Daphnia pulex: one gene and its partners. The protein of the gene in region 2 binds, or shares a complex with, the protein of the main gene of each other region. Links are inferred from orthologs where the notes say so. Each region holds a gene or a part of one and is shown on either strand. Other genes may lie near its edges.

Evidence for each region.
Region 1: transcriptional adapter 3-B-like (region 2) and transcriptional adapter 2-beta-like share a complex: the UniProt entries of both Homo sapiens proteins name them as parts of the TFTC-HAT complex. The link is inferred for Daphnia pulex from reciprocal best matches to the Homo sapiens genes TADA3 and TADA2B.
Region 3: transcriptional adapter 3-B-like (region 2) and protein Dr1-like share a complex: the UniProt entries of both Homo sapiens proteins name them as parts of the ADA2A-containing complex. The link is inferred for Daphnia pulex from reciprocal best matches to the Homo sapiens genes TADA3 and DR1.
Region 4: transcriptional adapter 3-B-like (region 2) and SAGA-associated factor 29-like share a complex: the UniProt entries of both Homo sapiens proteins name them as parts of the ADA2A-containing complex. The link is inferred for Daphnia pulex from reciprocal best matches to the Homo sapiens genes TADA3 and SGF29.
Region 5: transcriptional adapter 3-B-like (region 2) and transcription initiation factor TFIID subunit 5-like share a complex: the UniProt entries of both Homo sapiens proteins name them as parts of the TFTC-HAT complex. The link is inferred for Daphnia pulex from reciprocal best matches to the Homo sapiens genes TADA3 and TAF5.
Region 6: transcriptional adapter 3-B-like (region 2) and transformation/transcription domain-associated protein-like share a complex: the UniProt entries of both Homo sapiens proteins name them as parts of the TFTC-HAT complex. The link is inferred for Daphnia pulex from reciprocal best matches to the Homo sapiens genes TADA3 and TRRAP.
Region 7: transcriptional adapter 3-B-like (region 2) and transcriptional adapter 2-alpha-like share a complex: the UniProt entries of both Homo sapiens proteins name them as parts of the ADA2A-containing complex. The link is inferred for Daphnia pulex from reciprocal best matches to the Homo sapiens genes TADA3 and TADA2A.

The regions. Positions count from the first base shown.
Region 1 is NC_060026.1:11,481,078-11,485,061, reverse strand, and holds transcriptional adapter 2-beta-like, read right to left. Parts: upstream 2,801-3,984; 5' UTR 2,727-2,800; coding exon 2,720-2,726; intron 2,647-2,719; coding exon 2,549-2,646; intron 2,405-2,548; coding exon 2,345-2,404; intron 2,287-2,344; coding exon 2,130-2,286; intron 2,067-2,129; coding exon 1,828-2,066; intron 1,762-1,827; coding exon 1,520-1,761; intron 1,453-1,519; coding exon 1,221-1,452; intron 981-1,220; coding exon 925-980; intron 744-924; coding exon 500-743; intron 429-499; coding exon 366-428; intron 302-365; coding exon 200-301; 3' UTR 138-199; downstream 1-137. Other genes in the region: eukaryotic translation initiation factor 3 subunit F-like, read left to right, coding at 3,026-3,134, 3,307-3,595, 3,663-3,754, 3,813-3,984. UniProt on the Homo sapiens protein: Coactivates PAX5-dependent transcription together with either SMARCA4 or GCN5L2.
Region 2 is NC_060019.1:11,487,531-11,491,424, reverse strand, and holds transcriptional adapter 3-B-like, read left to right. Parts: upstream 1-1,238; 5' UTR 1,239-1,390; coding exon 1,391-1,571; intron 1,572-1,646; coding exon 1,647-1,783; intron 1,784-1,856; coding exon 1,857-1,988; intron 1,989-2,051; coding exon 2,052-2,195; intron 2,196-2,272; coding exon 2,273-2,487; intron 2,488-2,552; coding exon 2,553-2,677; intron 2,678-2,743; coding exon 2,744-2,874; intron 2,875-2,931; coding exon 2,932-3,090; intron 3,091-3,160; coding exon 3,161-3,304; 3' UTR 3,305-3,394; downstream 3,395-3,894. Other genes in the region: protein OPI10 homolog, read right to left, coding at 3,484-3,894. UniProt on the Homo sapiens protein: Functions as a component of the PCAF complex. The PCAF complex is capable of efficiently acetylating histones in a nucleosomal context. The PCAF complex could be considered as the human version of the yeast SAGA complex.
Region 3 is NC_060021.1:11,079,441-11,082,065, forward strand, and holds protein Dr1-like, read right to left. Parts: upstream 1,473-2,625; 5' UTR 1,314-1,472; intron 1,231-1,313; exon of another isoform or gene 1,190-1,230; 5' UTR 1,181-1,189; coding exon 964-1,180; exon of another isoform or gene 901-963; coding exon 759-900; exon of another isoform or gene 700-758; coding exon 552-699; 3' UTR 501-551; downstream 1-500. Other genes in the region: uncharacterized protein LOC124194693, read left to right, coding at 63-95. UniProt on the Homo sapiens protein: The association of the DR1/DRAP1 heterodimer with TBP results in a functional repression of both activated and basal transcription of class II genes.
Region 4 is NC_060019.1:9,072,457-9,075,823, reverse strand, and holds SAGA-associated factor 29-like, read right to left. Parts: upstream 2,002-3,367; 5' UTR 1,882-2,001; intron 1,823-1,881; 5' UTR 1,725-1,822; coding exon 1,686-1,724; intron 1,624-1,685; coding exon 1,489-1,623; intron 1,429-1,488; coding exon 1,306-1,428; intron 1,243-1,305; coding exon 1,084-1,242; intron 1,018-1,083; coding exon 789-1,017; intron 708-788; coding exon 529-707; 3' UTR 501-528; downstream 1-500. Other genes in the region: uncharacterized protein LOC124191408, read left to right, coding at 131-229, 287-427. UniProt on the Homo sapiens protein: Chromatin reader component of some histone acetyltransferase (HAT) SAGA-type complexes like the TFTC-HAT, ATAC or STAGA complexes.
Region 5 is NC_060026.1:1,543,986-1,548,171, forward strand, and holds transcription initiation factor TFIID subunit 5-like, read left to right. Parts: upstream 1-1,386; 5' UTR 1,387-1,421; coding exon 1,422-1,604; intron 1,605-1,666; coding exon 1,667-1,858; intron 1,859-1,919; coding exon 1,920-2,122; intron 2,123-2,184; coding exon 2,185-2,381; intron 2,382-2,444; coding exon 2,445-2,646; intron 2,647-2,718; coding exon 2,719-2,838; intron 2,839-2,921; coding exon 2,922-3,513; intron 3,514-3,575; coding exon 3,576-3,977; 3' UTR 3,978-4,045; downstream 4,046-4,186. UniProt on the Homo sapiens protein: The TFIID basal transcription factor complex plays a major role in the initiation of RNA polymerase II (Pol II)-dependent transcription.
Region 6 is NC_060018.1:6,526,831-6,530,986, forward strand, and holds the start of transformation/transcription domain-associated protein-like, read right to left. Parts: upstream 2,801-4,156; 5' UTR 2,536-2,800; intron 2,473-2,535; 5' UTR 2,468-2,472; coding exon 1-2,467. Other genes in the region: splicing factor 3B subunit 4-like, read right to left, coding at 3,210-3,300, 3,366-3,775, 3,835-3,879, 3,940-4,156. UniProt on the Homo sapiens protein: Adapter protein, which is found in various multiprotein chromatin complexes with histone acetyltransferase activity (HAT), which gives a specific tag for epigenetic transcription activation.
Region 7 is NC_060028.1:9,042,162-9,045,315, forward strand, and holds the end of transcriptional adapter 2-alpha-like, read right to left. Parts: intron 2,347-3,154; exon of another isoform or gene 2,342-2,346; 5' UTR 2,212-2,341; coding exon 2,154-2,211; intron 1,980-2,153; coding exon 604-1,979; 3' UTR 501-603; downstream 1-500. UniProt on the Homo sapiens protein: Component of the ATAC complex, a complex with histone acetyltransferase activity on histones H3 and H4. Required for the function of some acidic activation domains, which activate transcription from a distant site. Binds double-stranded DNA.

The DNA of each region.
Region 1 (3,984 bases), on a different chromosome or scaffold from region 2:
AAAAAATCAGGTGATCTTTTATCTGATCAAACAAAAAAGGTTTATCATGCAAATTATATTAATATACTCAAAATTATTCGTAAAATTTAACTAATCTATCAAAACTAAAATGAAATGAATATTGGAAATTCGTTTAAAAAAAAACAGTTGAACTTTATTCAAAAAAGACACATATTTTTTCAACACAAAATTGCTGTTTTCACTCGACAGACAGAAAACCGGCTTTCGTAAAATAATTTACAATCATAGACTGCTCGTCAGCAGCCAGGCCGGGTAGGAGCGGAGTCTTGTCGGTCCCACTCTGAGAAAAAGATTTGTATTTTATTTCAAGTGAATAAATCAAGAGAGTGAATGATTCGACTTACCAATATGAGATTGGCCTTCAATGACGTATAGTACAATGGTCTCAAACGTAGATTTTGGCAAATCTGAGATTTAAAGGAAAACAATTATTGGATAAAACTTTAAAAATAATAATTATAATAATCGTTTCACTGACTTGCTTTTCAGCAGGACTGAGCAGTTCTGAACCGGGACATAAAGTGAGATCGTCGCTCTTGGCGAGGAAATTAGCAACTGCCTCCTGCCATTCTGACTGTGAAAGTCGGGTATTAGCGGAGAGTACGGGCCCGAGTCGAGGCAGACTGCTTGAAACGCTGAGGACGCTGCTGTTGTTGTTGCTGCCGAAGGAGGTGACTTTTGCGTCTCGAAAGCTTGAAAGTAGCACTTCTTCCCTTGCGTTGCTGCGAAAAAAAAAAAAAAAACAAAAAAAACAAGTTACATACATAAGCCACGAATTTACTTAACAATTCTAAGAACTAAGAAATATAGTTGAGATTTCGTAATATAATGCAAAGCTATCACAGGTAACTGATGAGTTAAACTGCACATAGTATGTAAAAAAGGGGAAATAATAAAGCTTACTCTGACTTGTGTAGTGTCCCAGGGTTTTGTACAATCGGCCCCGGTCCACTGCTTCCCTACGTTAAAGTCTATTGTTCAATTTCCAGTCTTTTTTGGGTTCTAATTTAACTAGCTTGTAAGATACTTAAAATAAAGACACATAAGTAAAAAAATAAAATCGAATATTCAACCAATGGACACCACCAATAATGATTCATTTCAACGAAGTATTAACAGGTAAATAAACCAGTCGCACACTCTTACTATCGCTTGACGAAACTATGCAAGCAATAGTACAGACTGGGAAAATTGCTTACGGATTTCCGGCGCTGGCGCTCCAACCGGGCTTCTTTCTTTCTTTCACGGAAGTATCGCAGTCGTTCATATTCAGTACATTCCTCATGTCGAGTTAATCCATTCCTACGGTATTTGATTAGTTCTCGAATCCGCAATCGCAAAGCTCTCTCTTTAGTTAGATTGCGTAAGAATTGCTCATGCTCAGGTGCCGTGTGGAATTGGGAAAACGAACGAAATTTTTCTTGCGTTTCTCTGTACAAGGAAAAAAATGTAACTGTTTGTAATGAATCTATAGTTAACTAATTGAAACATGAATTACTTTTCCTTTTGGGACTCCCTTTTTTTTGCGGCAGTCGTAGGTTTTTCCTTCTCTTTCTTGATAGCGTTAAAAAATTGGGATACCAGTTGAAAATCCCGAGCAACCCGCTTCCTTCGGGCTCTTTCCCTCAGGCGGCGAGTATACATATCGACTTGAGCCAGTTTTAGAGCCAAATCAATATCCTCGTCGTCATGATTAATGGCAAGATGAGAAACAATTGCCTCAGCTTCATTGTCATGTTCCTACAAAAAATAAAAATAATGTTGAAGTTTTTAAGACAATTTGTTTCATGACAAATTAAGACCCACCCTTTCAAAATCATCTCTTTGAGGCATGTATCCAAGTTCTAATGTTTCTTCAGGTTGAATAGCTAAAGGTGGTAGTCGTGATGTGATGGATGGAGATAGAGGTGCATTATCTGGACAAGTGTGATCAATTGCTGCCAAGCGAGACTCTCCACTTGCGAGAAGTCCATTTGGAAGCCCTTGCCATGTTAGTTTACCTATTGTTCCTGTGACAAATCTATCACAGTACTGTTCTTTGCATTCTGTAAAAAAAACATAATTGGAGAGTAACTGATGATAAAATCCTGATAAAAATCAACAATTACTTTCTGAATCCCGTGTTTCTACATGTTTCGCAACATCTTCCCAATTTCCATAACCAAACTGTTCTATTGCATCAAGTAACTGATAGTCTTCCCTTGCAATCCAGCCACCTTCATCCTCCCTTTGTTGGTCAGGAAAAATACTAAAAGTACCAGGATCCTAGAAATTAAAAATAAAGTATTTATTGAGAGTTTGATAGAAAAACTTAAATACTCACTATTAATCTATATCCATGACTACTTTTATGTGGTCCAATTTCACAGCCAAGAGAGAAACACTAGAAAGAAACATTGCAAAACTGTGTTATTAAAATAATTCAAATTCGCCGCCGACCAACCGGCAATACCACTCCGGTGGGCGTCATAACAAACAACAAAGAAGGAAGGGGAGGGATTCATTCAACGAAGATTTTATACCACACCTGTAAACAAAGTTCGTAATCGACACAAACGTTACATCGGATTCGAATGCCAAGGATGTCGTCCTGACAGTAGCCACATCGATGCTTCATAAATAAATCTGAGGAATGGATACAGAAAGAAAGATTTTCAATTTTCGAAAATAAGGATTCAACGAGAGCATTTTTTTTTACCCGCCATCTTTAGCCTTCCCTTCCCATCAAGAACAACTAAGCTATGCCAACGCTAGCGAAAGCATTGGTCGCGCCCTCTGGTGACTGAGAAGTGAGAAGTCTTTAAAAAATAATTAAAATGACGTGTAAAATTTATAAACAATGTACACCGTACATTTTATTAAATTAAATTTTTTTTAATGTATAACGAGACGTGTTTGGTAAATAGAAATAATTCAACGTATTATATATCACCAATTGGCAACTAGTTCGTGTCGGCTTTTTCAGCTCCAATGCGGTAGTGGTCTGCAAAAAAAGTCACGCAAAATGGCTCTCAATCTGACTGTCAAGTTGCATCCTGTTGTATTATTTCAGATTATTGACTCTTATGAGCGTCGTAATCCTGATGCACAGAGAGTAATTGGAACGTTGCTTGGTAACATACAATTTAGATCATCCGTTTGCTTTCGCGTTTTATTGTTTTTTCGACTGTTGACACGTGTATCGGTATCGAGTACCTGACAAAATCTTTGGATTATATACCTAAATTCCTATAATATGCGAAATCGAAGTTGTGATAACTCATTTTTCATATTGATTTTTTCCAGGCACATCAGATAAAAATGGTGTGGAAGTGACCAATTGCTTTTGTGTGCCTCACAATGAATCAGAAGAAGAAGTGGCTGTGGAATTGGACTTTGCCAAGGATATGTATGACTTGCATCGTAAAGTTAATCCCCAAGAAAGCATTGTAGGTTGGTGGGCAACTGGTACTGGAGTCACATCTCACTCTGCTCTTATTCATGAGTACTACTCCAGAGAGTCCTCCAATCCTGTTCACATTACAGTGGACACCACATTGCAAGATACCCGTATGGGAATCAAAGCTTATGTCAGGTACATGCTATTAATTCAGTATGATACAATTGCTTTGAAAAATAATTATCTTTAAATTATCATCTAGTGTCCCAATGGGTATCACAGGCAAAACTATGGGATGCATGTTTGCTCCTGTTTCTGTTGAGATAGCATGCTATGACCCAGAAACTATTGGATGTAATTATAATAGAAAATGTGTATGTATACTGGGAATTAATCTTTGATTGTTTTTCAGTAAATGCCTGCCAGAAAACCAAAACCTCGGTTAAACGTCAAGCGGGCATCGCTTCGGATCTTACTCAGATTGTTGAAGCCTCGCAGCAGATGGAAAACATGCTGGACACTATCTTGGCTTATGTTGACGACGTAATGAGTGGCTCCAAAACGGCTGACAACACGTTTGGTCG
Region 2 (3,894 bases):
TTTCCTCCCTCCTGACGTGATCAATACCTGAGCTACAGATTCCCCCATGCCCTATTTCAACCCCGCCAACGCATGTACAGCTGTGCAACCCCCCACCCATTTGCAATCGTCGCAAAAAGAAACAATTCACTTCCAAATGAACTCACTATCAAATTTTACCACCTGATATCTGCCTCTCATACGAATGCTACTGTTTGGATAAATTAGGGTCAGACTGCTGCATGTCACACAAGATTACTCAAGGTTTACTAGGCAGGATGGTATAAAAAAACCTGTGCTAATTATGAAACGAAGAGAGGAATTTTGAGAACATGCTTTGATTATGAAGGTGTCATGTTTCACCATCCAGAACTTTTATGATTGTGCAACACAGCGGTCTCCTTACCTTGAAATGAACGGATAGCTGCAGTACACACAAAGCAGTAGGAGCGAACTGGAAAATTGTGTCTAAAATGTCACTGAAAAATGGCTGTTTCAAGGAAACTCAGGATTCTTCAATAATTATTGAAAACGAAGGATGTCCCCACACGCACTCGACCCCCCTTTGGGTTCTTCAAAGCAAGTGACACAGATGGTGTAGCCCACACATATCACAATATGAAGAAAAACAAGGTTTCCACAGCTATTTGTAGAAAAAATAAATTGCACTTCACGAAGTTCGGTCTGGAATTCCTCTCTGATAGGCCGCAGATTCAAACTTTAATTTCAAACAGACAATAAACTGTCATGAAACGTAGATAATGTTAGTGTCACAAAAACTCGTTGCCTTTTCACTCGGTAGCCATATTGGAATAAACTGAAAACACCAGAGAAAAGAAGACTGGAGACCCGCAGACGAGGGAATTTTACAGCCCTGAAACTAGCGCTGTTTCAGACATAACGGCCACATAATAATATAGTGAAACACCAACTAAATTAAATAAATACATTGGCCTATGGAATTTGTAGTTAAATGAAATCGATAAAATATCATACAAATTTATATTAAGCATTCTGCATTCATTAAAGAAATACATGAAAATTTGAAAAATTTGAAAATCAAGTCTAAAACTTTGAGTTGCAATTTCCCTGATTTTATTATTTCGAAAACTGCGTTCAAATATTTTTAACAAGTAATTTAAAAAAATATATTAGACTTTGATTGTCTTTTCTCTTTCGACTTAAACGGTTTAAGTTATCCAAAGTTTTCATTAAACCATTCAAGGAGGCGCTGCTATCGTTTGACGAATACCCAGTCTCATTTTCTCTCTTACGTTGTAAATCGAAATATCGAATCGAAAGTTTGAAAGTTAGGTATCGATTCTAGTCCAAGCTTTTTTGACAAGTAAACAACGTAAATCGTACATTCGTACGTGAATTGTCTTGTCAAATTTAAAATTTGGGCCGAAAAATGGTTCCGGGTAAAGGTAATATCTCCAAAGGAAAAGGAGCTACAAATGTCAAAGGTTCAACGTCAGCCACTAAAGTCAAAAGGGAAAGAGTTTCAGAACCTGAGGACTCAGATGAAGAAGTTACTCTAGCTGATGTCCGAGCTGTCGACTATGGAAAGGTTTTACCTCGTTTCACATCCAGTAAGAACTAATTTTTTTTGTTTTTCTGTTGGTTTTCTAATTAACAAAGATATAAATATAATCAATTGTTTATAGTTACGGCTAGATCAGAAGAAGGGGGTGTTATGATGGATGATTTGGACACCTTACAAATGGAACTAGAAACACTACTCAATTGTGTTGTTTTGCGTTCCTTAAATTTACAGAGAGAAATTGCAGGAATGACTGAAAAGGTATTCATCAAAGTTTTTTTTTCATCTTGTGTCTATTTTCTGTTTGCCAACAACACTATGTGTTTTTTTTTAGCCTCCATCTCCTGGAAAACGATCAAAACAAGAAGAGCGTTCACCTAAAAAGTTCAAAGATCAACCAGGAAAGCTTAGAGATGCACACACACCTCCACTTTTAAAGCAGATGAAAATTAAATCTGCTCTAGCTGTACCTAGTTTCATGAAAAGTAGTTTTATTTACAGTCAAGTAATGATCTCTTTGATTTTATAGAAGCCTATCCCACCAGAAGGAGTTGTTGAGGAAATGCCTCCTTTAGAATTAATGAAGACATCAACTGCCAAAAATGATACACCAAACAAATTTTGGGCTTCTGTAGAACCATACTGTGCTCTTTTTACAGATGATGATTTAAAGGTAAAATGATTTGTATAAGATTAACATAACTTGGAATTAAATTTTTTTTCTTGTGGTAATTGATGTTTTAACTAAAGCTAGTAGAAGAACTAATCTCAACTCATAATGAGGATGAAGAATACCTCAAAATTCCTCCTCTCGGTCGCCACTATACACTTCGGTGGGCAGAAGATGATTTACTTCAGGAGCAAAGAGAGGGCTCTCGTTTCGGCGAGAAAAAGAAGATTACCTCTGGATCTTCTGTAGGAACGGAAGAGGCTCAAAGATTAATGGACACAGCAGCTAAAAACAAGTAAAAAATTAATATTTTTTTTTCTAATAGCCGCATATTGCTTAACGATAGATTTAATAACTCAGTGCTGAAACAAATACTACATCTGCGACGGGGATGTGCGGACCCATGACCCAGCGTCTCATTTCAGCTCTTTTAGAAGAAAATATTGTAACTTCTGTGCAGGACACAATGGAATCAGAAGGGCAAGGTATATTGTTCATTGTTTTCCTGTTTAAAACTAATGCCAACTAGCGGTTCGAAATTACTGTAACAGACGAAAACGCGAAATCTACTGGCACGAAGGCAGCAATGAATGGACCTCAAGCTGCTGCACTTGAACGTCGTATTCGTCAAGAGTTAGAAGAACAAGGCATTTTAACTTCCGAAGAAGCCAACGTTAATTCGGTAATTTATTCATTCAAAACACATTTCAGAGGTAGTATTATTAACCCCCTGATTAAGGCCGATGATGAAATATTGACGGAGTTACGTCGATGCCAAGGAGAATTGAGGGCCATATCACTGCACAACTTGAAACAACTGAAACGACTGTACCGCCTCAGTCAAGAAGAAATGAAACGTCAGGAAATACGGAAAAAATTGATTGCAGCGGACGCTGAGGTATTCATTTTTCAAGTGTCATCTCTGCTTATCGAGCTCGTCTACATTATTCCCAACTTCTTTTGAATAGGTATTAGACGTATATCGTAAAATGGCTGCCGCTAAACAAAAAAAACGCCCGTTAAGCAAAAAAGAAAAAGATCAGATGTGGAAAATACTTCGTGATCGTGAAGCGATTGTCAAACAGCTGGACACGGGAACGACTAGTATGTAAATATTTTTTCAAACAATACAAGACGTGTGTGATGAAGATGAACTAAGATGGTTAATTGAACTTTGCATAACAATATAAACTTTTAACAAGCCTTGTTTATTACTTAAATCAATTAGCATGTATTCAACAATGAAAAGTTGAGGTTACTTGAAGTTGATAAGAATTTAATAAGAATTCTTTCAACTTCTCCAAAACTGAGGATTCAATTCTAGTTTTCTAATAAAGTTAGTGTACCAGTTTCTTAAAACAGACATTGGGATGAAACTTTCTGATGGATTTGGTGTCATTTGTGATTGAGTAACAGCAAAACTTGCTGCATAATTGAAAAGATTTTGAAGAGTACGTTCAGCAAACTCCTGGAATGTTGTGGTGCTACTAGGCTCTGTAATGGCACTAGGAGATTGATTGGAAATGAGGCTAAGAGGCTCAATTGAAATCCCTATTTGAGCATGATGATGTATTTCCCCCTGGTGCACCCCAAACATACTAGGGCTATAACTTCCCGGATTCTTCTTCAAGCCAGTGATTTTGTAAATGCTTGACGGTTTGTTATTGGTGAGGTTACCTAGTAGTTGCCACACTGGTGGGGC
Region 3 (2,625 bases), on a different chromosome or scaffold from region 2:
TCGTCCAGTTTATTTGCTCTACTTTTAAGATATGGTCTAACAATGTTTTTGCAATTTTACAGAAAGCAAGATTGCTTAGTCGAAAAAAGAAATAATGTTTGGAATTTCACTTTTGCCTTTTCATATTTATATATAACTTCTTTTTCCACCACGACACACGTACTTTTGTCCAATACCACTATGATAAAGTTGAATTTCTCGTAATCTCGTAACACTTAGATGTCGATCAAAGGCTTGGTTTGTCCATGTTATTTATCCTCTCAAACCTTATTATACTGATATAAAGTCGATTTGCGGCTTGTCGAATTGTTAAGCATTCAAAATGAAAAATAACTTGTTAATTATGCAATAAGTCATGCAGTTAAATTCTTTCCAAATATGAGGTATCTGAGTAGTATAAATAATGCTTCAAGTACAAAAGTAAAGAATGTTAGGATGGTACTGATAAATAATAATTAAGACAACAGTAGAAATATTTCAAATACACTTCATTAAGCTCATTCTAGAAATCAAATTTTGTATGTATTGAATCAAATTTCACAAACAATCTTCTAAGAGTATTCTCCATCTTCTGAATTTGATGGAACATCTCCCTGTTGTTGCTGCAAGGACATTTGAGCCTCTGCTTGAAGTTGTAGCCACTGTTGCTGCTCAGCAGCAGCTTGTTCTTCTCTGGCTTTGGCAAATAATTCCTGCTGTCTATATTTTAAAAAATATGTATTAGACTAATTAAATCATAAAAAAGTGATAAAACTTACTGTCTCAATAGCTCTTCTTCTGGAATTCCCAAGTTTTCCAACCTTGTACTTTGGCGCCTCCTTTTGGCAGCAACAGCTTTACAATCTTTCAACACTGCTTCAGCATCAGTACGGTAGTCATTGAATCCAAGCCTATCTAATGCTACAACCATGTGTGTTAGATTATTTTTCCTTTCCATTACTTTACAACATTTGTAACAATTACCTCCAAGTATATGCTCTGCATTAATAGTCTTTTTCTGTTGCTGAGTACAAATTTCATTAGCCTCTGAAGCCAAAAGGTGTATGAACTCAGAACAACAGTTAAGAATCAATTCTCTAGCTTCATTGGCAACTCGGACACTGGGAACAATCTCTTTAATCATTTTGTTCATAGCAGCTCTCGGAATGGTCAATTCTTCTTCTGGCACAGCTTCTGCCATCTTTAAAGCCTGTATATCAGAAAAAAAACCTACTGTCCACAAACAGAAAACTTTATGAAGAGCAAAGGCTTTGTCAGCCAATACTAGAAGGAAACCGTAATATTGAAAAACAAATTTATGACTCATTATATACCAGAAAATTATATACGTAGAATTAAAAGAACAGCACACACGGTAAGAGTATGATCCTAAATTCTTTCAAAGTTTTCACTAATAATTAACTTTTCTCTCGTGCAGAAGAATGCATAAACAAAGCAATACAACAAACTACACCAAACACACTAGATAAGAAACTAAAATGAATCGCTAAAATAACCTTTTTTTATGCGCCTCTACCAATCGTATACAGGTACTAGGTTGGGAATGTCCAGAACCTTATCCATCTGGTGGCTGCGACTAGTACTTCGTATCCGACTGATAGAATATATCAGCTTGCACCATTATCAGCTTGCACCATTAGTTAGGCAATCCAAATTCATTATCATTATAGGCATTACGAAACAAAAACTAAAAAAGACCATTGTTTTTTCCCCGCATAATTCAGAATCAGGTCATTTTTGGTTGTAAAATTGCTGTCATCCCCCTGTGATTTCCACGCAAACCTTGAAATGATTGTCATTTTTATACTACAATTTCTACTTCATCGTCGGTCCGCGAGGAATTAGAGGAAAAGTCATTGACAAAACCAAGAATACGCCTAGGTCGACCACGGCACCACGCAAGGAAAAGAAAAATTCCGGGTAAAATATCTAAACTTCATTCGTGTTGCTTATAGCAACTCGATCTATTGAAGGTTGTTGACAAGCAGTGTTATTGTGCGTGTTAGCTTTGTTTTTTAAATTCGAAATTCAGAGACCGAGTGTGATTCTATTTGCGCTGTTTGTAAGCAGAGCTATAGATGACAGCGTGTATGGCAGAGCTATACATCTATAACTCTGTTGTAAGCATAAAAGGCTAGATATTTTAATTTAAACCTGAAGTCCTTAATGAATAGGATATTTGTCGTTTGTAGTTTGAATATGTTTTTTGATTTTTTAAATGAAAACAAAATCACAAAAGCCCTTTGCTTGCTAACGGAGATCAACAACTGAGAAGTTAGAAAGAATTCGGGTAATTTTCTGAACTTCGTAAAAGGGCAACGTCGCTTCCCATTCCTCACGGAAGTTCGTCTGCACTGTGCAAGTCTGCAGACTGCATTGCAGATTGGTGAGTTGGTGACGATGACATCATCTGCATATTTTTTCAAAGTTTCAATCATGGAATTGTTCGATTGTAGTGACTAGTACGCAATAATGAGTCCGTTCACTCTAAAGTTTGTTTATATTTCTCGATTGTCTAACTTATGTTACCCACGGGTGTCCCGTTGCACCGTGGACCTTGGAATGTGGATTGTGGTCGGTGAGAAATTGACGGTGGTAAAGAAACTATTGCCTGGGGGACCGTAA
Region 4 (3,367 bases), about 2.4 Mb from region 2:
TTAGTTCGAGCAGATGTAATGTGAACTAAAACACTTTACTTTTAAAAATTAATTAACTGTCCATTTTGTGGTTGTGAGACTACTACATAATTCATAAAATCTGTGTTCTAATTCTTTTTCTTATTCATAGGGCGACAAAACTCAGATTACTCGCTATTGGGTTGGTAAATATCTTCTTGCTGGATGGCTGGTTTTGGGAATTACCTACAATCTGAAGTACAACTCTCATGTAAGTATTTGCCTCTAATAGTGGACAGCACCCAAAATACTACATTTTAACTTTTAGGACTGGACTCGCAAGAAAGGATTTGCAATTTTCGGCTCCAGACCCGCAGTTTACCCAGGAGATCCGAACTTCCCTAAAGTTTCCGATAAAATGAAGCCTTCTGACTACGCCGACTACGGATTCAAAAACTCCCCCATTTAGATTCTATTTCATGTTTCATACGTGGTTGGAAGAAGTAGTGAAAAACACAAATCCTGCTGTACAGAAGAGAGAATAGAAAAAAGGGTCAAATGTATTTGAAATCATTTCTTTTTCTCTTTGATAGCTATGACATATCGTTGCGCCACCATCAAAGGCGGACTGAATCCTTCAGTATAGCTAGAATCTTCAAAAAGAACTTGGTATTCATCTTGAGCTGTTTGGGGTAATTGATTGATTACCGCTTTGTAAAAACAGGTCGTTTGTGGATACAAAGCCATGACTAAAAACAAATGTTTAGTATGTTAATAATATGCTAACGTCGGATCAGCTAAAATTTGCGATTTTTTTGTTTTGTTTTTACCAGTGGCTCCTTTTGAGAACAAAGCATCGGGATCGGTTTCAGGATTAGCTCGCATCAAAGGAAGAGGAATTACTCTGCGTTTGCTTAAAGTGTGTCGCTCTTTCTGTTCCTCGTCAATATCATCCACTTCATAGCGCCCAGAAGAAGCTAAATATTGAACGACTTCTGCCAAAATCCAATTCTCATCGCCGTCTGTACTCTTTACCAAAGCCGCAACAATATCTCCCAGCTGACATACATATAAGGTGTTTCGGTTAGTCAATTAACAGTTTATGACATTCGAATAATGTAATACTTTGGCAACGTAAGTTGGGTCAGCTGGAACTGCTCCACATAATGCTGGTGGCTGTTGTCCTGACTTACTGATCCACAGCGGGAGAGTTTGAGCAGTAACGAGAAGCATTTTCATGAGAGCACCTCTTCTTATAGTTTCCTTACTGCCAGCTTGTTTTGCCTGAACAAGAATGTTAGTACAATGTTAGGTGAAATTTTCTAAGTTTACGTTCTTGGGAATAACCTGAATTCTCCTTTCATGTCTGATAACGCGAATTTCATAGATTTTGCTTAATGCCTTACGAATAAGGTCCTCTTCTTTTTCAGCATCAGCCACCACAGAGCAATACAGTCCTTTTAATTTAGACTGATAATTTTATAGGCATTCATTAGTGCTGATTAATTAGTGATATGGGAATAGAAATACCTTGTGATATGGAGAAATTTTGTCATCTGACTGAAGTTTTTCATGAGCTTTGATAACAGCATTTAAGTTACCTTCATTACGAACTTTCTCTTCTTGAATCTGCTTGACCAACTTGTAGATCCCCTTCAATCGTTCCTGCACCCCAATCCAAATTAGAACTAAGTAAATACCTTAACAACTGATTATATCAACCTTACTTGGACTTGCTGTGTGGCAGAATCTAATGACAAAGCCATGATGTATATGTTTAATAACAACTACCTCTCCTAAATGATGAGCTCAAACCAGCAATGATGACTGGAATCCAAGCAAAAGCCACCAAGAAAACCAAGAACTAAAGAAAATTAAATTCTGAAATTTACATATCTTTTATGCACAGAAAAATAACCTTACTAAATTAATGAAGATGAGTTTAAAAACAGTCATCGGAAATCAGCCTTCCAAACAATAAATTGAAAATCGTAACATCGGCAGTTGCTTTGTCGTCACCATGGCAACTATGGCATCAACTGTATTAGTTCCATTCGTCATTAGCAGATGGCATGAGCATGCTCAAATTGTATAACCATGGCAATAATTTCTAAATCAGGCCTTTTTTTCGAGTGGTTTTATTATATAGCCTTTGATCATTTTCAACTCTCAAATTATTTAGTTATTTTGTAGTCAGTTATTTTAATATTTTGCACATCCCTGTAAAAATGTATCGGCATTGTGTGGTAACTTTTTGGTGATGACTGACGATAACTATTCCACCAAGAAAGCTCACCTGTTAATTTTTCGATAATTTTTTTTATCTACTAAATGTATTTCACGGAGATGACGAATATTTCGTTTATTTTCCGTCCCATTCTAGTCGTCCGTGGATGCTCAGGGCTGTCACTAGGTGGCTAAATATTTCAGCGTGTTTAGGGATTGAACTATTCAGCTCTAGTGTGTTTGTTTCTAGAGGGGTGTAGGGGGATGGGTCATCAAACTGTCAAAGTCCTGAGACGACTGACAGAACAGTCTTTCTTTTGCTGTCGAGACGCTGTCCGAGAAGGTAAAATTTAGTCATTGCTGGTACTTTCTTACGTGACATTGTTGATCATAGACATGGTAATTCCATTTTTTATTCTTTAATTTTATAAAATTTAATTTTGTGTGTGGTTCAAAACGTGTAACATTGTCTTCAATTCATAATTGGTAATCGCATGTGGCCTGCTGTACATTCCCACAATGTCGTCTCTTGCTGAATGTTGCACGTTTCGTTCCATGCAGAACAGTAAAAAGTAATTATTGCTTAACTTTTTAATTCAAGACTTTGTTTCTGAATTAAAATTGTGTGACTTTGTTTCAAAAAGTAATTTAAATTTTTCTATTAACTGTTGAGCAGTAAAGCCTGAGCTTCATTACGTTTTGTTTTGCAAATTGTTTCAATTTCCAGTTGAATTATGCCAAGAGCTTTCACAGACATGCACTTAACTTGTTAGAACACTCGAGTGGGTTAGAATTTGCCTATATTTTAGTCTACTTTAAAAGTGTGTGCTACACATGTGATTTTTGTCAGGAATCAGGTCAGACATTGAATTCTCGATTTAGATGACATTTTACAACAACTATATGTTTCTAATTAAGAGCTTTTGTGAAAAGATTTGCTCAATAGAATTGTATTTTTTAAATATAAAACAGAAATTAACCCTTTCTTGTATTTGAAAATGTAATTGGTTCATTGTTTTCCTTTGAACTTGATTTACAGGATTTCTTGGTTAGTTTGATGTTGGAGCTGCCAATGGTGTTGATGCAGCGTTCATGGTGTGAGCAGTGGTTTTGCAGTCATTTTCCAGTCGAGATGTCTTGAGGGCGCGTTTTCGCAATGGAGCTTGTCAAAATGGAATTTTCG
Region 5 (4,186 bases), on a different chromosome or scaffold from region 2:
GGAAAAGAAAACAAGGCAAGGGTTTACAAAAAATAATGGCCTGACTCTGTATTATTAAATCTCCCGACCATCATCAACCATGTTTTTTTTCTATTTTGGTTTTTACATAACACACACCTTTTTTCCCCCCACGTTTTTACTTCAAACAAACTTGTGTGATGGTTCTTTTTTCTCGTGTGTAGAATTTCTTCCCCCCGTTTCTTTTGTGTATACTCGAACCTCCCCCCCGCCCTTCAAAACTTTTGTATATCAAGCTTTGTGAAACCTTGATTACCTTTTTTTTTTTTTATATACAAATCAATGTAGGTGTTCCACACATTTCTTCTCTATATACCTATTTAGCTTTTTCTCTCCTTGATCATGATCGTGGCCCTCCCAATATCTTTCGAATAATGTCCTAACTTGGATATCGTGTAAGTAACGCTGCTATATCAGGAAATGTACATTTCTTGCCTTGCCCGTTGATTTCATTTCATTCTTTCTTTAATTGGCTTTACTGATACTGATAAGCCTTTGCACTTTGGAAGTTGAAATGAGTGGAGAAATAACGAGAAAAATTTGGATATTCTTGTGAAAAGGCGAATCTATATTGATGCACATGGTACAAATACGAATGACATTTCACAAGAGGTAATTTTTTTTACAGCCAAATTTCAGCAGCTTTTGTCCAAGTGGGAACTCGTGGTGGTAATTAGTTTTCTGGTTCTGGATGACAGCTGACCCAGAATTACCTAGTGAAAGAACAGAACAGTTAGAGACAATTTACACGGCGTCATTAAAACTAGTGAACTTACCTAAGAATCAGACTGCCATTTGCTTCCATGTGACTGCGAGTGGTTGAGAATGGATTTACTTGGAGCGAGCACGCATCTTCCTGCGCTTACGCTTAAGCCTACGCATACGCTTCTTACGCCACTAAAGAAAGAAAGAGCCGGCCATTAGATTCACAAGCCTCGAGACAAGCATCACAGTACACCGATACATGAAACACATAGAATAGGTAGAAAAACGATAATTACCTTAGCTCTCATGATGCAGTCGGTCTCTAAATGAAACAAGGAAAACGAAACAGTCGGTTAGAGATGTTGAAAACGAGGCAATTGTTGGATGATATTGGATTTTGTTAACTCAGTAAAACCAAGAATGAACTTACCTAGGAAAGACTGCAGAGAAGAGTGAGAGAGCCAGTGCCTGATGGTCTCCTACATTGCCTATTTCCGTTTCCACTCCTTTCTTTAAAAATAGTTGAAATATTATATCGTAAAACATATTAAAACCTATATTAATTTGATGCTAGAAAAATTAGCAATTTTATTATGGGTAAAGTATTGTTTTAATTAATATTTTAGTAAATAAATTTGATAACTGGCACAATGCAAACCCGCTGTCGGGGTTGTTTACAACGAAAAAAAAAAGGAAAAATGGAGTTCGATATGAATCAGATATCTCAAACAAGTAATTCAAACGCGAAAATTGAAGCATCTGAAAGTCAAAACAGTGAAGTTCCAAGTGAAAACAGTGCAGTTCAACCTGTAGAACCAGAAAATGTCGACTCCAATACCCTTGCGGCCGTATTACAGTTTCTTCAGAAGCACAACCTGAAAGTAACTGAAAATGACATGATTATTTTTAAATTTCGGCGTCTCATTTATTTACAATGTATTAGGGGACGGCTGATATTTTGAAAAAAGAAGCACGGCTCAAGGAGGATCAATTACGAGATGCACAAGCTCTTCAAGTGGATTCAGAGGCAACAAATTTGCTCTCATCATACAAGAGCGAAGGAGACCCAAATGCCTACGAAAAAGCTTACCTAAGTTACAGGAGATTTGTGGAAAGCTCGCTGGATGTTTATAAAGTATGGTCAAAAGATATTCAACTCAATTTCAAATAATAATTTCAATTTGTTTACTTTTCAGCATGAGCTGTCCCTAGTATTGTACCCTTTATTTGTCCACATGTATTTGGAAATGATTTACAACCAACATGAATCAGAAGCCGCTAAATTTATGGAACGTTTTTCAACAGATCAGGAAGATTATTATCAGGATGATCTTAAAAAAGTTTCTTTTATTACCAAAAAAGAACACATGAAAGGCAGTGATCTCATGGAGAATTTCAAGTAACAAATCACTTTTTTTTTAAATAAAATCGTCAATCATAAAAACTTAAATTGTTAAACAGATCAAGTCAGTTCACCGTTCGAATGTCCCGGGATACTTACTCGGTTTTGAAGCGGTTTTTGCAGGACAAGAACCAATCAATTGTCATGAACGTCATTCAGGAACACTTGTACGTCGACATGTACGAAGGAGTGCCGAGAAATAAAGCCCAAGTTGAATCCACAGCCGGAGCCATGGAAGGCGAGGCCAACAGACAAGGTACACAAATCAAGAGATTAGAAAGAAATCCCCAAAACAATTACCAATTCTTTTCACTTACAGTAAACAAGACCAAAATCTACTATGGTCTGCTCAAAGAGCCCGATATCCAGCTTCCGGTAGTCGAGGAGGAAGAGGACGGAGAACCCGGCGAAGGTGGTGAAAAGCCCAAAAAGAAGAAACCCAAAAAGGATCCGTTGCTCAACAAGAAAGCCAAGAGCGACCCTAATGCTCCACCGGCCAGCCGATTGCCATTACCAGATTTGTAAGATGCAGATGCAGTGAAAAATGGTGTGGAAAAAAAGGAAAATGGTTGAGCTGTGAGTTTCTGTTTCAGGAGAGATATCGACAAACTGGAGAAGGTCAGGGCCCTACGAGAAGCCAGCAAGAGGGTGGCTCTTGGTCCAGACAATTTGCCGTCCATTTGTTTCTACACGATGCTGAATTGCGCGGAAACGTCAGTTATTCTAATTTACCTGATTTTTTCCATTCAATTTGAAATTATAATTTTTTTTCTTTTTCCCTTTTTGTGAATGACAGGGTCACGTGCGTCGAATTCTGCGAGGATTCGTCACTATTAGCCGTAGGGTTTTCCGATTCCATCCTCAAAGTTTGGAGTCTTGTACCCCAGAAACTCCGGGCCATGAAACCGGCCGAGCAATTGGCCGATATCGACAAGGAGGCCGAAGATGTTCTCGTTCGTATGATGGACGACAAGACGGGTGAGACTATGAAAGTCCTTCACGGCCATTGCGGGCCGGTTTACGCTGCCTCGTTCAGTCACGACCGGACGTTACTCTTATCATCGTCGGAAGACGCCACGATCCGGCTGTGGAGTTTGCAGACGTGGACCTGCCTGGTGGTCTATAAAGGCCACATTTACCCCGTGTGGGACGTGAGGTTTTCCCCTCACGGCTACTATTTCTCATCAGTCGGACATGATCGGACTGCCAGACTTTGGGCCACCGATCATCACCAGCCTTTAAGGATCTTTGCCGGCCATTATTCAGACGTTGACGTGGTCCAATTCCATCCCAATTCCAATTACGTCGCCACAGGTTCCAGCGATAGGAGCGTCCGTTTATGGGATTGCGTAACTGGCAACTGTGTCCGGCTAATGACTGGTCATAAAGTAAAAACATTTTCATCCTTTTTATGAGTTTGTTTTTCTTTACAAGTTTTTTGTTTGTGTAGGGAACCGTCTCGGCGTTGTGTTTCTCCACCGACGGCCGTTTTCTGGCATCCGGTGGAGCTGATCAAAAAGTCCTGTTATGGGATCTGGCTCACGGTCACTTATTGGCCGACCTGCCTGGGCACACGATGACAATCTCCAGTTTGGCCTTCAGTCGAGACGGGACCGTGTTCGCCACGTCTTCCCTGGACGGCTCCATCCAACTGTGGGATTTCTTCCGGATGACGGATGAGTCCTCTTTAGAGGACGTCAACATCTCGGGTCACAATCCAGACCTTCTCAAGCGGAGTAACGCCATTGAATCGCTCCGCCTGGCACGTTACCCGACCAAAGCCACTCCTGTCATGTCATTGCATTTCACGCGGAGGAATTTGCTACTCGCTGCCGGCATGTTTGAAGGCTAATCCCTCGATTCACACCAATTTTTAAAAAATAATAATAAGAATTAAAATACATATAACTTTGTCTCTTATTTCCACAGATCCATTTTGTTGTTGTCAAGTCGGGAAAAACCAAATTCTGTCGAGTTGGCTACGTATTTTTCGTAAACGTGCCTAGTGAACCTCGAGACCGCTGTATAAATAGAAGATAATCGACCTGGTTTTTTCCGAGT
Region 6 (4,156 bases), on a different chromosome or scaffold from region 2:
CACTTTGAAGACTGTTTAGACTTTGAAGAAGATTCGGAAGCAATGGCAAAAATTCTTGATAAAGGAGGTCATGACTACCTCCGCCGATGGATCGAAAAAGTGCCCGCAGCAGGAGGAAATAGTTGTAGGGCTCTTTAGCACTCAAAGCTAATTCCATAGATTTGTTGACAATGTGCGGTAGATGTGGCTTTAACATTTGTTCATTCTCCGCAGCAAACAAAGAAACGCTACCAAACACAAGTTTGAACAACTTCAAATAAAGATTAGAACGCTCCATGTTCAATCCCATTTCTTCCATGTGATTCAGCAAATATTCGACGAGGATGGTGGCGAAAACAGCGGAGGTGGAAGGGTTTGCAAGAAATGAATTTGCAACTACCTGCAAAGCGCTATTGCGGTAAATGCGCTCTACCACGTAGTCAATTGTTGTGGCAAATACTTCCTTGAAAGTCTGCGGATTCATCATGGCGAAAACACCAGCAAAATGTTCCAATACTTCTTTTTCTTCTTTAGAGCGAATAGTTTGTGCTGGAACAGTCGGCCGAGCAGCGGAAGCCCCACCGACCGGAAAGCCAACGACGGTGCTATTAAGACTGCCAGAGGTCTCCGCTCCGACCGCACTCGGAATATTTAAGGCGTACACATCAAGTGCTTTCATCGCCCACTGCACCAAACGGATGAATATCACCGTTTCTTTAGGTTGCAAATTCTTGCCTGTAGTAGCAACACTAGTCGTAGTATCGAGTGGAGTTTTGCAGGCCGCACATCCCCAGGTGATGGTTTTCACACCGCACACAAGCGTTTTAACTAAGCTTCGACATTCAGTGATGCTGAAGACAGGTCCCGCAACTCGAACAGCAAACTTCATCGTTTTCTCTTTTTCATCTAGAAGAACTAAAGATGACCGAGTATCTTCCGGTTTCGTTTCATTCGCAGATGACGGTGAAGATGACGGTGGTGCAGCTCCATTCTGTGACCAACTTAACGAAGGAGAAGAAGGAGGCTCAGTACTAGGGGTTGCATTTGTTCCACTGTTGTCTTGCTTGTTCTTTGTCCCAGCTAAAATAGGCAACTGTAATTTCACGATGCTTTTGAATTTTAAAACAAAAACTTCAAGCATTTCTATCAGCAACTCTCTTCCAGGTCCATTTTCAACATCTGAACGTTGTCGTATGCACTCCACCAAATTCAGCAATAACTTGCAAGACATAGTCTGAATGCTTGTTGGAAGCGATTCGTCATGAACGTTTTTTGAGAATAGATGAACTGCACGAGCAAGGTCAAGCATTGGAAGGTGTTGTCGAACATGATGAACGAGGTCAGCTAACGTACTATAGGCTAAAGGTCTTAAAGATTCATTAGTTGTCCAACCTTTGCCAAACAGTAAATTTTCGTCAAATAAGCGCTCCATGAATGGAATGAAATGAAGACGGAGGTCAGTTGCCAGGATGTGCCTTGATGCTATCAGCAATTCTTTCCTCAAATGAGCAACTTCCATGGGGCACAGACTTAAGAGTCCCAGTATACCCTTAACCATTAGAGTAGCTTGTTGAGCAACAGCTTCTTGATAAATGCGAATGATGTAGGCCAGGAAAGATAGCGTTTTGATTTGGGCTCCAATGAAGTCTACAAAAATTTCTTTGTTAAATGCAGGATTTGCCTTGTGCTGGGCTGATGGCTGAAGGGTAATTGTAGTCATGATGAGAGGTATAAACTCTGCTACATCTTGATGAACATTATGCTTGTAAAGTTGATACATTAGGACCACAATTATTGGGAGTTCCTGCAAAACTTTCAACGACAACACTCCTTTTGGTATCAAATTATATGATATGTTGTTTCCATCAGGAGTTCGTGTTTCTGTGAGAACAACAGTGGCAGTAAATGTTTCAGCAAGTACTGCTTCAATGTTTAATTCACTTAAATCTTTAACTTTGATGGGGCTCCTTGGTTCAAATATCTTGTTTAGTTGATTCGGTAGGTCACGGTAGATGCCTTTGACAAATTGTAGAAAAGTTTGGATCTCCACACTATATTGGGGACGGTACTGTTTGTGAAGTTCAATTATGATTCGAAGACATATCAGCACATTATCTTCATTTTCTCTCTCAAGTAATCTGAACATGAGGTTAAGTGATTGTTTCACATATGGCCTTAAGTGTTCATTGGTGGGAAGACGATGAAACATTTCCAAAATCAATTTTCGGACTTGCTGAATGTTGTACTCTGCAATGAAGAGTGGTTCACTGTCTTGCAGTATCTTGAGAAAATTTTTCATAGCATGATCCAAGAATGCTGGATACTGTGGGGAACTGACAATGACTTCCAAATTTTCACTTAGCTCTTGGGCTGCTTTTAGTTTGTTCTCATCCTTTGCCCCAGGATCGGAGAGCATTGAAACAAAAGAGGTAAAAGTATTCATTTGGGCCACAACATCCAACCCAGGTACCGCATTAGAAGGCCCCATTTTATCTAAATGAATGAACAACATTGAAAAATTGTTCAAAAAAAAATGAAAAAGCTCAGACTCCTCACCTGTAGTTGACGAAGTCGTGTGGTAACGTCAATTCAAATGTAGCGTCTCAGGTAGGGTTCAAAAACAATTTATATAGGCTACTCAAGATTGACATTGTTTAAAGAAGGTATTATAGATAATGACAAGCTAGAAAACAGCTAACATCATTAAGCAGATTTATGAACGGATTGAATAAAATTCAGAATAAACGCCTGTACGCTTCACCACAGAGCCAGACTGCTTCATTTACTATTTAAAACTTAAAAGTTGACTAAAGAATCATGCTTATTGCTGAAATGAAAAACAGGCCGCAACACATGAAAATCATTCACTCATCGAGAACAAACGAGTCATGTAGCACCATCTGTTGGGTGAAATAAAAATACGGAAATGGACAGAAAATGGAGCCATCTGTGAGTAAAAGCAATTCAAGAGTCAGTTTGTAATTTTGTTAGCGTACATTTAGTTACACTTTACAAAACAGAAAGGAACTAATTCTTTACTGCATAACAGAGCTAATTGATCGAATAAAATATTCGTAAAAAAATTAGTCTGATGTTTTTAATTTACGATTTAATGGATTCAACATAAGCGTAACTATCTCGAAGCAGATCCCAAAACAGTCGCAAAGTCAAAGAAATGTGTTTATTACTTTATTTTGTATTTCAGACATACATGAAATGAATAAACGAAATCAAACGGGAGGTGGAATTGGAACAAATCCAGTTGATGGTGGTGGCGGCGGCGGCGCCCAGGAAGGCGGGGGCGGCGGAATCGGAGCTAACCTAAAATATGAATGTTGATTCTATATAGTAAATATTCATATGAATCTAATCACTATTATATTTACGGAAGAAAATTCGAAGATGGAGGTGGTGGAGGTGGAGGAGCCCAGGTGGGTGGTGGAGGAGGAGGTGGAGGCATCGCCATTGTAAGTCCTTGCAACGGAGGTGGGGGAGGTGGAGGCAATCCTGACATTCCCATGTTGCTCATTTGCGGAGGAATAGGAGGGGCATCGGCAAAAAGTTGATGAGGCCGATCTGTCTGAGCAAGAGGATTTTGTGCTGCCAGAAGCCTTTCTGCTGCTGATCCATGGCGTTCACCCTTAGAATCCTTCTTGAAGGCATATGATATAGTAATTGGCCTATTACATAAATATTGGCCATTCATGGCTTCAATGGCAGCATCAGATGCATCAAAACTGGCAAAGTTGATGAATGCAAAGCCTTTTGAATTCCCTGTTGTAGGATCCCTCATGATCTGCATTCAAAAAAACAAAATAGTAAAATTTAAAACCCCAACAATGATTTCAAATTTACCTTTGGTGTCTGAAGAATTACGCCAAATGCTGAAAATGTGTCATACTAAAAAAGCAATAATAGATTAAATTGTGTTTTGAACCTAAAGGAATGCTGATTGGTTACCAAAAGTTTTTCATCAACTTCAGGATCTAAGTTTCCAATGAAAATATTTGCTCCAACATCTAAGTTTTTCTGGTGTGCTGATGCTTTGTTTACCCGAATGGGTTTACCATACAGCTTTATCATGTTCATAATTTTACATGCGTAGTCAGCATCATCTTCACTGAGGAATTCTATGAATCCGTATCCTTGATGCAGTAAAGTAATCCGATCTTTAGGC
Region 7 (3,154 bases), on a different chromosome or scaffold from region 2:
GGAAAAAGTTGGGAATGAAGTCATTGATTCATTCCGGGAAAAAACAAACAAACAAATCAAACTTTCAAGAGCATCAACCTGCGAATGGCGGCGATAGTCTCACGATTCTTGAACTTGCTAAAGCGCTGAGTGTAATTAAGCGTCTTCATAAAGACTTCCGACAGTTCCTGCTCGTCCTCTGCGCTTTCATTCTGTAATTTACGATGGTCCAGCAACATGTGGACTTCAGATATCAGCAATGTTTCCGCATTCTCGAACTCTGTAATGATGTGGAATGGAGACAGAAGAATGAAACCGCATTAAGGGATGGTTCACTGTGCAAACTACTAAACTAGTGCCCACTCGTTTGTCGACTCTTTTTCTTTCTTTTCCTGCTGATCTAAGAAAACAAACCTGCATGAGCTTCCCATGACTACAAGCCCACACATCTATATATCTATATATATATATATATAACAGGTAATTCGAGATGATTTCAACACGCTAAAACGACATGAGGCTTGACTGTATAACGCAAGTTTATTGCTCATCTCCTCTTCCCCTCTCTCTCTCAGTCTCTCTGCCCCCTGTACAAAACATTATTATAACAAGTGGTGCCATAAATCAAGCGGGGAAGTAGATTAGTTTCTCTTCTAGGAGGAAATCAAAGATCTTGCGCGTCTTGTTCACATCAATCTTGATCAACGTCCTGGCCTGAGCCAGCCGAATGCCTTTGCGGTTGCGGCACTCGGCGATGAGAATGTTTCGAAATTCCATGTACGACTCGGGAACGAGACGTGAAACGGAGCACAACTGACGTTCGCCTTCGTTCAATTTGTCGTAACCGGGCAGACCGACAATGTCCAGCGGCGGTGCGCTCCTTCGCTGCTGTGGGAAAGGGCCAGCCGGGCTGACTAGAACGTTGCCGTTGCTTCCTTGAAGCAGGGCTGAGGTCACCAACTGTTGGTGCTGCTGCTGGACGGGGAACGCCACGTGAAGGTTGGCCGAAAACTGCTTCCACTGCTTCATGTGCTTCTCACGACGAGCCTGAAGCTGCGTGTAGATTTTGGCCGACGCCAGAGTCTTGATCCCCAAGTGGCGGTACCTTTGCAGCTGCTGGATTCGCTGCCGCAACTCGACATGTCCGTGCAAGCCTTCAAAGAGACTGCAGTGGTCTTGAAATTTGAACACCTGGGAAAACACCGAGAGACGCTCACAAATGCGATGTGTCAGCGTAGAGTCGTAGCGATAACGAGCCGCCAAATGACGATGAAAATTGATCAACCCGTGTTCCTGGACGATACGTTTCTTTCGAAATCTCTCGCGCAACTTGTCGTTGTACACTTGCACCACGGCCACGGCCAATGCACGTTCGAGTTCTAAAGCCTCTTGGTCGATTTCTTCGTCGGGATCGGGTTTCGTTTCATCCTGTAACGACGCCACGTCAAATTCTGCATTCTGGAAGGCTTCCACTTGGAAATCTCCTCGAGCAGCACAGTAACCGGCCATGTCTCTGTGGTAAACTGATCCAGGAACAGGCCTAGGGGGGTCGTGAGTTCCGGTTCTGTAGACGATAGGCTGAGGCCTGTACAGTCTCTCTGGACTTTTCGGTCTTGGTAGAGGTTCCACTGGGTCTTCAAGGTACCACTTGTTATAGTGGTTTGCACATTCTTCAGGACTGGCTTTGGAGCGTTTGGCAACCTCCGTCCAATTTGATGGCCCATGCGTAGACAACTGATCCAGCAAAGTGAGTTCTTCCCGAGCAGTCCAGTTGTCAAAGAGGTAGAAATCATCTCGTATGACCCTGTAGCTGTGATTGTTCAAATGGTGATTGCTTTCCTTTCCCTTGGCAAAGCACGTTGGGCACAAGTCCACTCTGACACACTCCTCGCACCTGATGTAAACTCCAGTCAGAGGGGTCTGACAAATGAAACACACTCGAGTCTGGGAACAATCTGTCGCCGGCCACACATTTCCACATGGTTCATCAGTCGACATTTCTAAGAAATTCGTTGCAAATGAATTAAACGTTCACGAAACGTGCAGTTCTTAGCCAGGTCTAGCCTAACAGCAATTAACTGTAATAACTGTAAATCCCTTTATGAAAACATATCAAGCCTAACACAGGGAAGCTCAAAACCGTAAACTGGGTAGGAAATTATAGTTCTTTTTACCTTTTGGGAACTGCAAAACAGCGGCATCTTCGTCACTGATCTCTGTGGCGGCCGCCATTTTCAAATGATATTAGAGTAAAGTGTAACGACGTTGCCAGACTTGCTGTTGTGATTTTCGTTGAAAATTTCATTTTTCGAAAAATATTCATTTGGCAATTTTGTACCAGTTTTTCCCAGCCGGATTTGACCTAGACTATCAGACAAAAATCAAAACGAATAAATTAATACTAATTGGAGTCCCAAAAACGTTACACAAATCATTGTGCAAAAGAGTGTGGCCTAGTGCCCTAGTCCACGTTTGTTGGATTTCTCTTCATTTCCAGGAAGTTGTTTTTAAAACATAATTTTTTCGCTCAAAACCGCACACAAGTCTGAGCACGAACAAGGCGCTAGAGATTTCGTAATCTCCAACATCCGGCAGTCCTGCACGGCACCACCTCGGCGAATCATCGGAATGGTTAATGCCAGCCAAATGAATAAAACAGATGGCAGCGAGCGATGCAGCACAACCAACCAGCCAGCCTGAATGATTATATACGAATATTTAAGAACACGGGGGCCTGCATGGTTCATAATTAAAAGGTTTTCTACCGACTCCCGCCATCAATAAGTGTTGGCTCAGGAACGTAATAATTGATTAAGAGCGGAATAGACAAAAATGCCGGGCAAAAAGATGGGCGTACAGGAAATATGAAGGAGAAAGTAGGATTATTAATTGATTAGAGTAGGCAACGAAGAATTCCCTATATTACACAATGTAATACGTCGTACATGATTAATGACAGAGAGAACTACGTTCCAAGTTATTTTCAAGAAGATGAGGAAGACTGCCGGATTATTCTTGCATAAAGACGTCGAAGTAAAACTTAAGGGAGAGAAAAGGAGCAAACGACGATGAAATAAAATACGAAGGATTATTGTAGTCGGAATACTTTTATAATAGAAGAAAAGGCCCTTCCGCATAAACTTTCACTCCGACCCCCCCTCTCCCCAAAAATGCA